Pelodiscus sinensis: one gene and its partner. Each later gene encodes a partner of the first gene's protein in a complex. Links are inferred from orthologs where the notes say so. Each region holds a gene or a part of one and is shown on either strand. Other genes may lie near its edges.

What was found.
Region 2: the proteins of LATS1 (region 1) and NF2 are in contact, whole or in part, in a crystal structure (PDB 7LWH), measured with the Homo sapiens proteins. The link is inferred for Pelodiscus sinensis from reciprocal best matches to the Homo sapiens genes LATS1 and NF2. Residues at the interface, in NP_004681.1 of Homo sapiens: Pro69, Lys70, Phe71, Gly72, His74, Ala77, Leu78, Glu80, Ile81, Arg82, Ser84, Leu85, Phe88, Ala89, Asn90; in NP_000259.1 of Homo sapiens: Pro135, Glu136, Ala137, Val139, Leu140, Tyr144, Asn175, Leu176, Tyr177, Gln178, Met179, Met183, Trp184, Arg187, Trp191, Glu206, Ile210, Asp213, Leu214, Glu215.

The regions. Positions count from the first base shown.
Region 1 is NC_134713.1:106,440,460-106,447,862, forward strand, and holds the start of LATS1 (serine/threonine-protein kinase LATS1), read right to left. Parts: upstream 3,047-7,403; 5' UTR 2,811-3,046; intron 1-2,810. UniProt on the Homo sapiens protein: Negative regulator of YAP1 in the Hippo signaling pathway that plays a pivotal role in organ size control and tumor suppression by restricting proliferation and promoting apoptosis.
Region 2 is NW_027465935.1:549,284-556,919, reverse strand, and holds the start of NF2 (merlin), read right to left. Parts: upstream 3,138-7,636; 5' UTR 2,860-3,137; coding exon 2,746-2,859; intron 1,020-2,745; exon of another isoform or gene 925-1,019; coding exon of another isoform or gene 820-924; intron 1-819. Other genes in the region: NIPSNAP1 (protein NipSnap homolog 1), read left to right, coding at 7,118-7,194. UniProt on the Homo sapiens protein: Probable regulator of the Hippo/SWH (Sav/Wts/Hpo) signaling pathway, a signaling pathway that plays a pivotal role in tumor suppression by restricting proliferation and promoting apoptosis.

The DNA.
Region 1 (7,403 bases):
TAATGCATATAGAGATAAGGGTACCTAACTAGCTTCCCTTTGTAACCTTAACTCTTAATTTGGGAAATGTAAATCTTCACTGCAACTTTAACATTAAAAATACTTCAAAAATGCAAAAGTTTAATAAATAGTTTAAAATATGATAATGCAGCAAGTGTGCCATGAGTTATTAAAACAACTGTTTAAAATTATTCTTAAGCAAACAGATTTTTGTTCTTTAGTTTTATTACTTATTGCTTTTAATGTATGAAATGTGACTGCAGTGTTTGAATACACACACATCCCAAAGAAAAGTGAAGGCAAAGGTAACTTACTGCCAGTTCTAAGCTTGACTTTTTTTTGCTTACCAACATAATGGAAAACAAGTTTTTCTGCATCCAAGTGATTACAGTAAAAGCTCTAAAGAATAATTGGCTACAAAAGTGAACATGTAGTTACATTTTAAGGTACTAAAAAATAACTCACTATCATCCAGGAATAAGGTATTTGGGAGTGTAAACTTATCCAAGACCCTGAACAAAATTATCTGATGGCTCAGGAGGGCTAGTAATAAGAGAACATTTAGGTTATTAATTCAAAGTTGAAATTTATAGCACCCAGAAATAATTACTATCAGATCACTACTATGTAAGCTACTTAAAATCCCATTTGTCAATTTACACTGTGATAGAAAATCACTACAAATTCATTACTGATTTAAGTGTTTTCCCAGGAATTTCCCCCCTTGAGGAATTTTCCCCTATCTATAAAATGGAGATAATTATACTTACTCTGTAAACTGTTTTGAGATCCTCAGAAGACAAATGCTATGTACTAAATGTTGCATACAATTTAATGTTTTCTTGGTGGTCTTAGCAAGACAGACTAAAGACCAATGAGCTTGAAAACTGCATTGCTTTGAAACCAAATTGAACTGGTTCCTCAACTGAGATTGTACCAGTAGAACAGTGGTGGGCAAAAAGGCCTCCACGGGCCAGATCCAGCTGCCAAGTGGGTGGATCAGGCCCGCAGAGGACCTGATGCTCCCCCCGCCCCCAGGCCAATTAGGGCAGCAGCAGTCAAAAAATCTAACCATCTTAGGAAACATAAGGGAAGAGTCAGAAAATAAGACAGAAAATATTATAATGCCATTATATACCCAGTCCTTTGACACGGCATGCAATTCTTGTTGCTCCATCTCAAAACAGTAGTATTAGAATTGGAAAAAGTATAGCTTAGAGTAACAACAATTAAGATGGGTATGGAACAGCTTACATATGAGGAAAGATTAAAGAAACTGCATCTGTTTAGCTTAGAAGTCATATGATAATGGAAAAAACACAATCTGTATAGAGAAAGCGAAGTAGCATTATTTATCCCTTCACATAACACTAGAACCAGTGGTCACCCAATGAAAGTAATAGGCACCAGGTTTTAAACAATCATAAGAAAGTACTTCTTCACACCAAGCAATCAACCTATGGAACTCATTGCCAGGGATGTTGAGTTGATCAAAAACATAACTGAATTAAAAAAATAATTACATAAATTCATGGAGATTAAGTTTGTCATTTGCTTTTAGCAATCAGGGACAATCCCCACACTCTGTCTCCCTATGCCTTTGACTGCCAGAATCTGGGCCTGGATGATAAGGGATCAATTGGTAGTTGTTCTGTTCATTTCCTCTGAAACATCTAATAGTTGCTGGTACCAGAAGGCAGGATACTGGGCTAGATGAAACATTAAGCTGAATCTATATAGCCTTTCTTATGCTCTAAAATATTGGTACAAGACAGTCACTGATCCTGCAGCTCAGCGTTGTACTTGGTACAAGACAGTCACTGATCCTGCAGCTCAGCGTTGTACTTTATTTTTCAACCTATATACAAAAATTCAGAGCAGCATGAATACCATCTGCTCAAGTATTAGATTCTCCCTTATCTGTGACATCTAGATGCTTAGAGATGGAAATTAGACTGATGTGTGAACATTAATCAAATTTAAATCATTAAAATGGTGAGATGCTCATGAGATACCCACAGACAAATTAAACTAGGTTTCACTTAAATGAAAGTATGCTAACCAACCTAGTTTCTTATAACTATTTGACTGCAGATGTCAGTGCCGATAACAGCTAAAGAGGCCATAAGGGAGCATTATGTTCAGGGAATGATCTCTCATCCAGGGTAGTCTCCTCAGTATGTTGCCATCCCATCCCTACAGTCCTCAACAGTGAATAGATCTGGGTCTCGAATCACTCACACACACGATTTCAATTACTCCGCTCCCTCCTCCCCATATTTATTTTGGGTGAACAAGGAGAAACGCTTCAAAATTTAATCCAGGGTTCAAATATATAACAAATCCAGCTGCAGAGACCGACTGCAGACCCCTGCACCCACCCCAGGAAACAAAGTGGATTCTCGTCGGTGCTGCCCAGCCCCTGCCCAGCTAAGGCGAGGCGCTGGGGCAGCACACGGGGAATCCGCGGCGAGAGGAATCCCCCCCCGGGGCAAAGCGCTGTGCCGGGGCGAGGGAAGCGGGCTGGGCAGGGAGGCACAGCTGGGCACGGAGCTGCAGACAGGGAACCCCCTTGCGGGAGGCGGGGTCGCACAGCGGCGGGGCCTGGCTTCCGCGGGGAGAGTGGGGGGCGGGGAAGGGCTGGTATTGTCTCCGCTCACTCGGGGGCAGCGCCGCTCACCTCCCCCCACACCCGCCCCGGGCCCAGAGGCGGCGAAGTCGCGTCAATCTGCGCAGCCCAGTAGGGCCTCGCCTCCGCCGGGCACGGGGTGCCCCAGGCCGCGCTCCCCTCCCGCGGCAGCCGGACCTACCTGCGGGGACAAGGCAGCGGCGGCGGCGTCGCCCCGGGCCCACGCGTGTGGCGGGGAGCGGCGCGCTGCGTGTGGCGCTGGGCTCCGCCCGCGGGGCGGCGGCTGGGCCGTTCGGGTCCCCGGGGCTGGTAGCAGCTCGTCCCCTCCCCCACCCCCCGTGGGGCTCAGTTCCGGGCCGCCATGTTCTCGGTGGGTCTGGCGCAGAGGGCTTCCCGGATATGGGCCGTTCCCGGCATCCTTTGCGCGTATCCCCTGCGGCTCCCCCCGCCCCTCCGGATTGGAATGTGAGCATCTCCGAGTCAGCGTGCCGGGCCCGGCTCTACGCGGGAGGGAGGGAGGGGGGGGGGGCAGGCAATGGGCCGCGCCCCCCTCCCTCCTGCTGTGGCAGCGGCGAGTAGTGCACCCTCCCCCCCCCCCCAACCAGGAACCTATGGACTAATCCGCCTGTAGGATTGGTTGGGTGGCTGATGCCCTCCCAGATTCCCTACGCGAGTCTCAGTCACCGGGAGCTCGCAAGTTCCAGCCGCGCTGCAGCCTTCTCAGCAATGGGCTCCCCGGCTCCGGCAGCTGCCTGCCATTGCCACACAACACTGACATCCCGCTACGGGCCAGGCCCCGCGCGGTTCCTTTGCCTTCGCTTCTATCGGCCCAGGGCTGGCAGGGAGCGGGCTCCGACCCAAGCTAATTCTATGTCACTTGTTCCAGGGAGTATGAAATTGGCCATGCATCTGTACATCCCTCACCTGGTTAATTTATCTGCCACTGGCAGCATGAAGGCAGACCGGCATGTGGTGGATTCAACAAGTCTTTAGTTAATGAGATGTGAAATACTATGCAATTTTGTCACAAGCTTGCTCTACTTTCCTAACTGCCAATACTGACCGCGGCAGCATGGTACAGAACTGTTAAATATGGTCAGCTAAAATGTTATCCGGGTTATTTATTAGAAAAAGGCATGGACAGGACCCAGGACTGTAATAAAAAATTCATAGCAACCATGACCTGTAATATACAGATCCTTACATTTAACAGTGAATTTTATGGGATGTGATATAATATACTAGCAGCACAGCATCTATTAATTGGATGCCTTAGATCAGGGGTCGGCAACATTTTCAAAACCAAAAGCCAAACTACATCAAAATTCAAAACACAGAGTCAACAAACAGCTGTATAAGAATGCCCATTTGCATGACTGAAAATATGCAACTTAATATTGACATGATTAACAGTAGCATAAATTAAATATTGTACTCACAGACTTTAATGGGACTTTTTGCTGCATTTTTGTGCACATTTCTCTGATGTTTTTATCGAAATTGGTCAAATCCAGCTTTATGCATGCATTCAGGCTGTCATCTGTCAACCTTATGGCAGGGGTTGGGGAGGTGCAGGAGTTTGGGGATGTACAGGGAATAAGGGGCTCAGGGGAAGAAGTTCATGTGTATGATGGGCTGTGAGGGTTGGGATGTGTGGGGGAAGGGGAGGGAGATGAGGATGTTAAATTGCAGTTGTAGCTAATCGTGTAATTCATACAATTTATATCAATTACATGATTAGTTAATAAGGGGCAGTCTACAGAGCCACAGCAGGGGTAGCTCCAGGAGCCAGCACTGAGCAGTCCCAGGTCATGCCAACTCCAGAAGCCACCCACCCTGCGGCTTTGCATTTTAAACGTAAGCAGGACCACTGGGCTCTTACTACATTTAAAATGCAGAGGCAGTGTCCCAGACCAACACAAGTCCAGCAGCCCCTATCGATGAGGGGGCCCAGCTCACAGCTGGGACCACCATGGACAGAGGCTGCTACCAGAACAGCCTCCCTTATCTCCCCCCTCTGCTTCTAATAGAGGCAGGGGAGGGGGCAGGCAGCACCCTAGACATGGTGCTGGGGAAAAATCAGCCTTTAAGCCAGCTGGCTCACCCAGCACCAGCTCTTGGTCCCTCCCTTGCTGCCTCTACAGAGAGGGAGTAAGTAGTCAATACTCCACTCAACTACCCAATAAGCTTGTACTTAGCAGCCATAATTATAGACAATGTTGAAACCATTTTGTTGGACATAATATTTTCCTTCATTTAAAAATGAAGCCTGGCCAAAAAGCCTCCAATTGGGGTCCAGCCCCCATTTGGCCACAGCATCATAACACTCCTGCCCTGGGAACATTAGCAAGTAGTCAGCTAGTCAACTACCCAATAAACTTATGGTTTCATGCACTCGAGTGAAATATTGACTACTCATTTCCTCCTCCCTACCACTGCCTCTTGGAGATAGGTTGTTCCCTTTTCAACCTAGCTCAGACGGGAGAGACTTTTGAAGGCGCAAGAATCTTCATAACCGTGTACAAAAAATAAAATCAAGGTCTCCCAAGAGGTTAAAAACTCTGAATACAAATAAAGATATAGGAAATAAGGCCTTATCACAAAAAAAAAATATATCCAAGAGCAAGCTGCCTAGATCTTCAAAAAGCTGCATCACCTCATTTGGCATAGTAGTGGCATATTTTATCTAACTTCTGAAGAAAAATGAGCATGTTGCATCATTTTGTACAAATACAAAGTAGTGATTTTGAACACAAATTTGAGCTTAGCTTGTGAAGTTTGTTTTCTTGCAAAAACCCTTCAATAGAATTATTTGCAATTCACTAAATGTTATCTGCTACGAAGTTAGAGTAGCCTTGTAAGTTAATGGTGTATGTAACTTAACATTTAACGTATAATATTAAATAAGACACTCAAAATACATTTATCATAGATCATTCAGTCACTTTCACTTTACTGTATTCAGAAAGGGAAACAGATGTAAAGATCCTTGGAAAAGTGGCTGTACCAAGTCAGTAATATCCATAGGTTCTAATTTTGGTGACATGCAACTACAGCTGACCTCTGGCTACCACTGCAATGACCACTTTCTGGGCCCAAGTTACAAAAAAATCCATTTCTCCCCTCCCTGACAGTAATCTAAATCTCACCTCCCAAAACCCGTGAGAATTCTCCTTTAGCCCCTCTTTCCCTGCACAGTGATACTTCCCTTTATTATGAATGGTAAGACTATTTAGGTGAGAATTATTTTTTTGGGGGGGAGGGAAGAGGAGAAAGCAGAGGTGTTGATGGTTCAGTCTACTACTGGTGGAAAATAGGTTGAACCATAGAAAATGAACTTCATCACTGCAATGCACAGGAAGAGAGCAGCCTTTTAAGTTGCTATTAGGCATATTTTTTTTTTACAGTAATCTGCAAAATAATTATGAAGTATCTAATAATTCAAAAATACATGAAAAAGGAACTATGACAAGTTTAAAAAAAAAAGCAGTTTGGCCTTCTTAACCTTAGAAATACCTGAAACGTGAAATCTGGTTTTTAGAGGACCAGCAGGAAGCGTTAAATTACTATGAGCACTGACCATCTTAATTGAAGGGCCTAGGGTGTTAAGTCTAAGACTTCTATTCAAACTCATTTAAGTTCATTTTTTCTCTTGTGTAAAACTTGTTTAAGAGTTTTGAAAGGCAATTAGAAAATTCTTCTCCTTTTTTGCTGATATTCTTTTCACTATTTCTCCAGGTATCAGAGCATTCCAGCTTAGACAAGACTTGAATTCCCATTTTAAGAAAACCTAGCAAAATTTAAAAAACAAACAACAAAATGGTCTGGTAGCACTTTATAGACTAACAAAACATGTCGATGGTATCATGAGCTTTCGTGGGCACAGCCCACTTCTTCAGATGAGCAGAGTTTGAAGAAATGGGCTGTGCCCACGAAAGCTCATGATACCATCGACATGTTTTGTTAGTCTATAAAGTGCTACCAGACCATTTGTTGTTCTTTCCTGTACAGATTAACTTGGCTACCCCCGAAGCTAGCAAAATTAAGACATCTCTCCATCTCCATCCCTAACCCCATCTTTCAGCACTTCTTACGTGAAACAGAAAAACAAAACATATCTTCCTCCACCCGCTTTTCTGTAGGTTACCTTTAAAGAACAGAAAAATAACGTGCCGTACAGTTCTGAAAGTCAATCTTTCCTATGCATTCTACAAATGTCCAATTATTTAATATAAACATGTTTTAAAGTGTTTTAAAGTTTCCTGTCAAAACCTGCAAATGGTCAAAAGGACAGCTGTTTTAATTATAATTGAGGCATTTTATTTAAGTGGTGCACTCTCTCTTCTATTATGCAGAATACTCTCCAGTTTTCCTGTGGTTATTTGGTGGCAGAGAAGCTTATGCTTACACTATGATCTCTATCTTGATCCTAGATCTGTAGTCATGTCCCCAGTTGGGATTTACAAAGACTGATAGCAGACATAGTCTATCTACAAATCATTTCAACGTGTACAAGTGCATCTTTTACAGGTAAACTGCAATAGTACATATTATCCTTTACAATAGGGGAGAATGTATAAATTAGGGGTTTGCACGAGTATATAGCTACAATGATGTACATATACTGGTACAAAAAGAAATACAGAGTATAGATGGAACCCAACCTTCAAGAATTTTCACCACTTCGAGGTAGCTGTTCCTAACAAGTGCATGTAATGAGTCACACATAGAAGTATCAGTTGACAAATCAACCGTCATGATATACAGTGAGCCT
Region 2 (7,636 bases), on another chromosome or scaffold:
CTGCTAGCAGTTTTTATGGGTTAGAGGGGATAAATGATCTAATTAGCCTTTAATTAACAAAATTAATTTACCTAATTAAGCTATAAAATAGAGGGTGACCCTATATTTGATTTTGTTACATTGGAATCTAGTCAGAGCTAAGGATGTTAAAGTCCGTTTAATCAACTAATCGAGTAGTCGATGGAATTTCCATCGACTACTCGATTAATCGATAAGGGGAGACCTGCAGAGCCACAGTGGGGTTAGCTCCGGGCCTTGCCTTTTAAAGTCCTGCCTGGCTCTTACTACATTTAAAAGGCAGAGATGCAGCAAGGGACCGGGTGTGTCCCGACTCACTCCTTGTCTCAGATGCTGCGTCTTTACCTCTCCTGCCCCTCCACGAAGACCTCTCCTGCCCCTCTCCTGCCCCTCCCCCTCAAGAAAGAGCCCAGTCCGTCTGTCTGTCTGTCTGCTTGGCCGCCGGAACACATGCAGCTCGGGCTGGCTGGGGCAGATTTCACAATGGCCACCTTAAAAGAGCAATGCCTGTTCTGTTCTTAAAAGGGCAGGGCAATCTTTTTTTCTTTTTCAACAAGTTTTGCTGCAAGTTTTGTTTTTCACCCCCCGCCCTCAGCTCAGTTCCTTTTTTTTTTCTCAACAAGTTTTACTGCTATTTTGGGGAGGGGGGGGAAGGGGCGTGATGCCAAAAAGTTTGGGAACCACTGGACTACAGGGAAAACCCTGGTCCCTCGACCTGAACCCAGAGTAGTGGGCGGGCCCAGATCCCCCCCAACCCTTCCTGCTTCCATGGCAGATTAACGAGGGCGTTACAATGCAGACCTCTGAAAAGTGGCGCCATCTACGAACACAGCTGCCTACCCGGAACAGATGCAGGTGGCAGGGAGTAGATCCAAGAACATTCAAACTGAAACGTGGATGTTCCATCTCTGGCTACAAACACGTTGGTGTCTCCGGAGACACTCTAAATCGATGTTTCTCAACCAGTGGTACAAGGATCCTGAGAGGTACTCGAGAGAAGTCTGGGAGGGGAACATCAACACTACTGAAATTCGGAGAAAACTGAATTTGTGTTTTAAGTTTTACAGCGCTCTCTTTTCTGTAGACTTTTTACGCTGCTCAAATTTGGAGAAAACTGAATTTGCGTTTTAAGTTTTACAGCGCTTTCTTTTCTGTAGACTTTTTACGCTGCTCAAATTTGGAGAAAACTGAATTTGCGTTTTAAGTTTTACAGCGCTTTCTTTTCTGTAGACTTTTTACGCTGCTGAAACTTGGAGAAAACTGAATCGTTGTTTTCAATTTCACAGCGTTTTACTATGGGTGTCCTTATTTGACATCCAAAAATTTCATCGCCTGCCCGGCGACGATTAAATGTTGCAACGGTAGAAAAAAAATTAAGAACATAAGAACGTCCGTACTGGGTCAGACCAAAGGTCCTTCTAGCCCAGTATCCTGTCTGCCGACAGTGGCCAGCGCCAGGTGCCCCAGAGAGGGTGGACCGAAGACAATGATCAAGCGATTTGTCTCCTGCCATCCCTCTCCAGCCTCTGACAAACAGAGGCCAAGGACACCATTGTATCCCCTGGCTAATAGCCTTTTATGGACCTAACCTCCATGAAATTATCTAGCTTCAATTTAAACTCTAATAATAGTCCTAGTCTTCACAGCCTCCTCTGGCGAGGAGTTCCACAGGTTGACTACACGCCGTGTGAAGAACTTTCTTTTATTAGTTTTAAACCTGCTACCCATTAATTTCAATTAGTGTCCTCTAGTTCTTCTATTTAGGGAACTAATAAATAACTTTTCTTTATCGGCCCTCTCTACACCACTCATGATTTTATAGACCTCTATCCTATCCCCCCTCAGTTTCCTCTTTTCGAAACTGAAAAGTCCCAGTCGTTTTAACCTCTCCTCATATGGGACCCGTTCCAAACCCCGAATCATTTTAGTTGCCCTTTTCTGAACCCTTTCCAAGGCCAAAATATCTTTTTTGAGGTGAGGAGACCACATCTGTACCTGTCTGAAATTGTGTGTCGGAAATTTTTTTTAGGGATCGCTCAGTGGTTTGAGCATGGGCCTGCTCAACCCAGGGCTGTGAGTTCAATCCTCACAGAGGCCATTTAGGGATTTGGGGCAAATATTTGTCAAGGATGGTACTTGGTCCTGCTGTGAAGGCAGAGGGCTGGACTCGATGACCTTTCAAGGTCCCTTCCAGTTCTAGGAGATAGGCAATCTCCAGTGATTTAAATTTTATTTATAAAACTGGAGGTATCGGGGATACTTATTTTTTTTTTTTTTGAAGGGGGTACTTTATAAAAAAAAAAAAGTTGAGAGACGCTGCTCTAGAGGGTGTGTCTTTGGCTAGCAACTCCCCATCTCTGGACGCCGGGATGCAGCAGCGCGCAGAAAGTGGATTTTATCGGGAGCACTTTGCTCTGATTTACCAATACGCGGCAAGCCATTAGTGGGCCAACTTTTAGAGGGCTCCAACTACCTACATGTGGCCTGCCTTGATTTCCCCCCGATCCGTCCTCGGGGCCTGTCCCAACCCACTGTGTAGCTGTGGCGTGCTGCGCTTTACCCAGCCGCCGCCACCGTCCGCTCCAGGGGTGGGTGCGTCTCCGTGGCCGGCTCAGGGATCGCTCCACAGTGGAACGAAAGCGGCCCGCCGGGCAGCAGGGTGTCCGGGAACCCCGCGCCGGCAGCGATCCGGAGGCGCTGGCCGTGGTGCTCTGCGGACGCTGTTACCTCGCAGTTGAACTCCATCTCGGCGTCCATGGTCATGATCCGCACCGTGAAGGTTTTCGGCTGCTTTCTCTTCAGGGAGCTGAAACTCATCCGCGACGCGATGGCCCCGGCCATGGTGGGGTGCCGGGAATTAGGGCAAGATCCCACTTCTCCCCTCCAACACGCTGCCCGAGGCCCGGCACCAGGGGCAGGCGGGGGGCGGGGTGAGCTGGGTCTGGTCCCCGGGGGGGCACCCTACCAGCCCCCAGTGGCTCCGGTTCGCCAACGGGGGCGGGGCGAGCGTGCAGCGGGCCTGGCCGGAGTGGGGGGGGGGCAGCCCTGCGAGACCCAGCCCGAGAGGGGGGGCAGTGGGAAGGGAGTGCAGAGGGGCTGACCCAGGGGGCTTATCCCGGGGGGGGGTCTAGCCCTGGGGAGGAAAGGGGGGGGCCTGATGGGGGTGGGAACGGGGGAGGGGGCTATGGGGGGGCTAAAGGGGGGATGGGGAGGGCGGGAGGTTATAGGGGAGGAGGGGGGGAGGGCAGAGGCGGGGGGGCTAAGGGAAGGGCGGGGGCCTATGGGGGAGGGGTTAAGAGGGGGAGGGGAGGAGGGTGGGGGGGATGTAGGGGGAGTAGAGGGGGCCTAGCTCGGGGGGGAGGGTGGGGAGGTGGGGGGAGGGGCGGGGGGCCTAGGACGGAGGGGGACTAAGGGGGGGAGGGGCTGGGGGGTCCTAGCCCGGGGGGAGGGGCGGGCGCTCCGCGGGGGGGGTCTAGCCCGGGGGGGTCTGGGGGGGTCCTAGCCCGGGGGGAGGGGCGGGCGCTCCGCGGGGGGGGGTCTAGCCCGAGGGGGGGGCCTAGCCCGGGGGGGCGGGGCGGGGGAGCTCAGAACCGGGCCCCGCGGTCCCTGCCCACCGAGCGCGGCGGGCCTCAGCTGGCGCAGCCGAACCCCAGCGCGCTCCGCCATTGGCCGCGCCCCCCCCCGGGGGCGGGGCCCCGCCCGTCCGCCCGCCCGCCTCGGCCAATCGCCAGCCCCGCCCGGCCGGCCTGGGCGCGAGCCGCTCCCCGATTGGCCGGCGGCGCTGCCACTCCGCCGCGCGCGCCCCGCCTCCCCAGCAGGCTTGGTTGAGAGGCCGCTGGAGGGGGCGGGCCTGGGCCGGGGAAGGCGTCACGCGGGCTCGCGCGCCCCCTCGCGGCGGCCTGAGCGCCTCCCGGACTCAGGCTCGATGGGCGGGGCCTGGAACTGTCAGGGCGGGGCCTGAGCCGGGCCCTGGAACACTCAGGGCGGGGTCTGAACCTGTGTGGGCGGGGCCTGGAGACATGAGGGCGGGGCCTGGAACACTCAGGGTGGGGCCTGGAGCCATCCGGGCGGGGCTTTAGATGTCAGGGCGGGGCCTGGAGAGGCCAGGGCGGGGTCTGAACCTGTGTGGGCGGGGCCAGGATCCCTCTGGGCGGGGCCTGGAGCAAGCAGGGCGGAGCCTGGAGAGGTCAGGGCGGGGTCTGAACCTGTGTGGGCGGGGTCTGGAGCCATCGGGGCGGGACCCGAGCCCCACTGCAGCACCCAAGCCCTGGCACGTGCCCATCTGCGTCAGTTTCGCTTTGGGCCTGGCGCCCCCAGACCCCACCCAAGGGACAGGGGGCAGGGAAATCCGCCCCCCCCCCCCGGTGCTTTGGCGCCCCCTGGGCTTTGCCTGTCTGCCAGTCGTCCTCCCTCGCCAGCCAATCGCTGCTGTTTCCTCTGCCTCCCCCCCCCCCCACGACCAGGAAGGATCACACCCTAAGAAATAAGTTTAACACCCCCCCATGGGGCCCGCCTCCCCCACGCCAAATCCCTCAGCCCTAGCCCCCTCCTGCAGCCCCACCCCACAGCCCACACCCCCCCAGCCAAAGCCCTCCCCCCTCCCGTAACCCGGCCCACGCTGGTGAAAACCAGTGAGTGGGGGGGGGGAAGCAAGCAAGGAATGGAGGGGGCTGGAGTGAGTGTGGGAGGGCCTTGGAGAAGGTACTGGGGCGGGGCCTCAGGAAAGGGGCGGGGCTTCAGGAAAGGGGCGGGGCCAGGTTGCCTTTTCAGCTGACAGAAAGTTGGCTGCCCTCGCTGGCCTAGCCAGAGCGGAGGCAGGTGATCTGGGGCATTGTACCTATGTGGGGGGGGGATCTAGCTGGTGGGGGGCCGCCCCCAGGAACACCATCCCATGGCCATCTCTGGGGGGGGTGAACCCCCTCTCAGTGTACTCTAGGCAGGTGGCCCAGGCAACAACTGTCTGCAGCCTGACTTGTCCTTCCCTAGAAATCTGACCCAGTCTGCACCCCCCCAGAGTCAGCCTCCTTCTGGCTCACCCTTGCAAGGTAGGGCGCGCAAATGGCCCTTCCCCGTGTAACCCCGAAATCCGCCCCACGCCGCTCCTGCGGCACAGCAAGGGAGCCCCGGCTGGAGGTGACTTGTCGGCTTAGAGGACCTTTGAAAATGAAGAATGCAGACAGCAATGCATCCTCCTGGCCGGCTGCCCGGCGCGTCTGTAGAAGTGGGGGTGGCCCATAAAATCCATATTCCGAATGACTGGAAACCGTGCCTCCTCCTTGCCAAACGGGATTAGCAATGCAGCGACCCGCACGGGGGACAACGTCTGGTTTCCTGCGTCTGGGCCTTTGCGGTGGATTTCAACAACTCCCCTTGTTTTCAGATCTTAGAAATAGCAGGAAGAGGGAGTCAGGGGTGTCCTAATGTAGCTAGAAGCCTTTTTTCCGGAAGGGGGGGTGTCATTGTTGGATATTTAACCAAGAGCGCTTTTCTCCCCGCTGCTTCGTGGGCATTTGAGTGCAGAGCTGGGATACGCTTTTCAGCACCGTGTGAATTCCCGTCCCTTTCCATCTCTGCGCTCATTTCATTTATGCTGATTTCTTTTCAATATTTTGCCCTGCCTCTCATTTAAAATATTCGAGGCCTTTTTTCAATGGGGAGGTCATCATTGGATGTTTAACCAAGAGCGTTTTTCTCCCCGCTGCTTCCTGGGCATTTGAGTGCAGAACCAGGATACGCTTTTCAGCACTGTGTGACTTCCCCTCCCTTTCCATCTCTGTGCCCATTTAATTTATGGTGATTTCTTTACATATTTTTTCCCTGCCTCTTTCATTTAAAATATTCAAGGCCTTTTTTCAATGGGTGGGGGGAGTATTGCTGGATGTTTAACCAAGAGCGCTTTTCTCCCCGCTGCTTCCTGGGCATTTGAGTGCAAAACCAGGATACGCTTTTCAGCACCGTGTGAATTCCCGTCCCTTTCCATCTCTGCGCTCATTTAATTTATGCTGATTTCTTTGAAATATTTTTGCCCTGCCTCTCTCATTTAAAATATTCGAGGCCTTTTTTCAATGGGGAGGTCATTCGTAGATGTTTAACCAAGAGTGTTTTTCTCCCTGCTGCTTCCTGGGCATTTGAGTGCAAAACCAGGATACGCTTTTCGGCACAGGGTGAATTCCCGTCCCTTTCCATCTCTGCGCCCATTTCATTTATGGCAATAGCTTTTCAATATTTTTGCCCAGCCTTTCTTATTTAAGATATTTGAGGCCTTTTTTCAATGGGGAGGTCTTCATTGGATGTTTAACCAAGAGCGTTTTTCTCCCCACACCTTCCTGGGCATTTGAGTGCAGAACCAGGATACGCTTTTCAGCGCCGGGTGAATTCCCGTCCCTTTCCATCTCTGTGCTCGTTTCATTTACGCTGATTTCTTTTTAATATTTTTGCCCCGCCGCTATTATTTAAAATATTCGAGGTGGCTTACACCATTTTTTTAAAAGCCACACTATAAATACAGATCAAATATTGTATACACATGTAGTGACCGGAGATGGGTAGGGTCAACTCCTCCGTGCTCCCCGCACATAGATTGTGTTTTCGCGGGGAGGGGGGAGACTAGAAATGACACAACCGAAAATTCAGCTGCCCTGCTCCATGGCCAAGGCGATTAACCAAGAGGTCCCAGTTCAGGACTGCAGACCAACAGGACCAAGAATGGAACTGGGTCTCTACCCCAAGGAGCGTCCAGGCAGGCGTGAGGGCGCACAGATGGGCCCCCAAAGAGACCCACCCTGCTGCTCCTATAAGGGATGTTCCTCCTTGCAGAGGGACGGGGGCTCTGGGCTCGGAGGCTGGGGCAGCCCGGGTCTGAAATAGGGGGAGATTTTACGCTTCCCTGCCTCGTCCAAGCTTAGCTGCGGCCCCAGGCGTGTGCGCTTTGGGCACGCGGTGCGCACGGAATTGCGCCCCCCGCGCAGGGATCGCGCCCTCGCGCGCCCCTTCTTCGGGCAGGGGGAGCAAAGGGGCGCGGGGGGAGGGGAGTCCCCGCCCGGACCCGCCCCCCCGGCCCGCCCCGCGCAGCGCCCGGCTGCGGCTCCGCAGCGCGAAGATGGCGACGCGGGTGTGCGGGAACCCGGCGCTGCGGCGCCTGCTGCGGGGACCCTGCGTGGCCCGGAGCGGAGCCCGGTGAGACCCGCGGCCCCGGGGCTAGCACCCCCTTCCCCCCCCGGCCACGGTGCCGTGCGCCCCCCGCGGGTCCTCCCCGGCGCCCCCGCAGCCCGGTCCCTTGTCCCCCAGTATCCCGTCCCCAGTGTACATCCCCGTCCCATCCCCGCACGTGGCCCTCCCCGGCGCCCCCGTACCCCCAACTTGTCCATCCCTGGCATCCCCATACCCATGTCCCCTGCCCCCCAAGTATGTCCATCCCTGGCACCCGTGTACCGAGAGCCCCAGCCCCCTGTCTTCCAACGTGGCCAGCCCCAGCGCCCCCTACCTCACAGCCCCAGTCTCCTGCCCCCCAGCGTCTCCATCTTCTAGTCCCTTGTACTCCTATTCCCTGGGGCCCATCACCTCACCTGCCTAGCCCCTGGGCTCCCCTTAGGTTTGGCCTCTGCCCCACGGAGCGTCC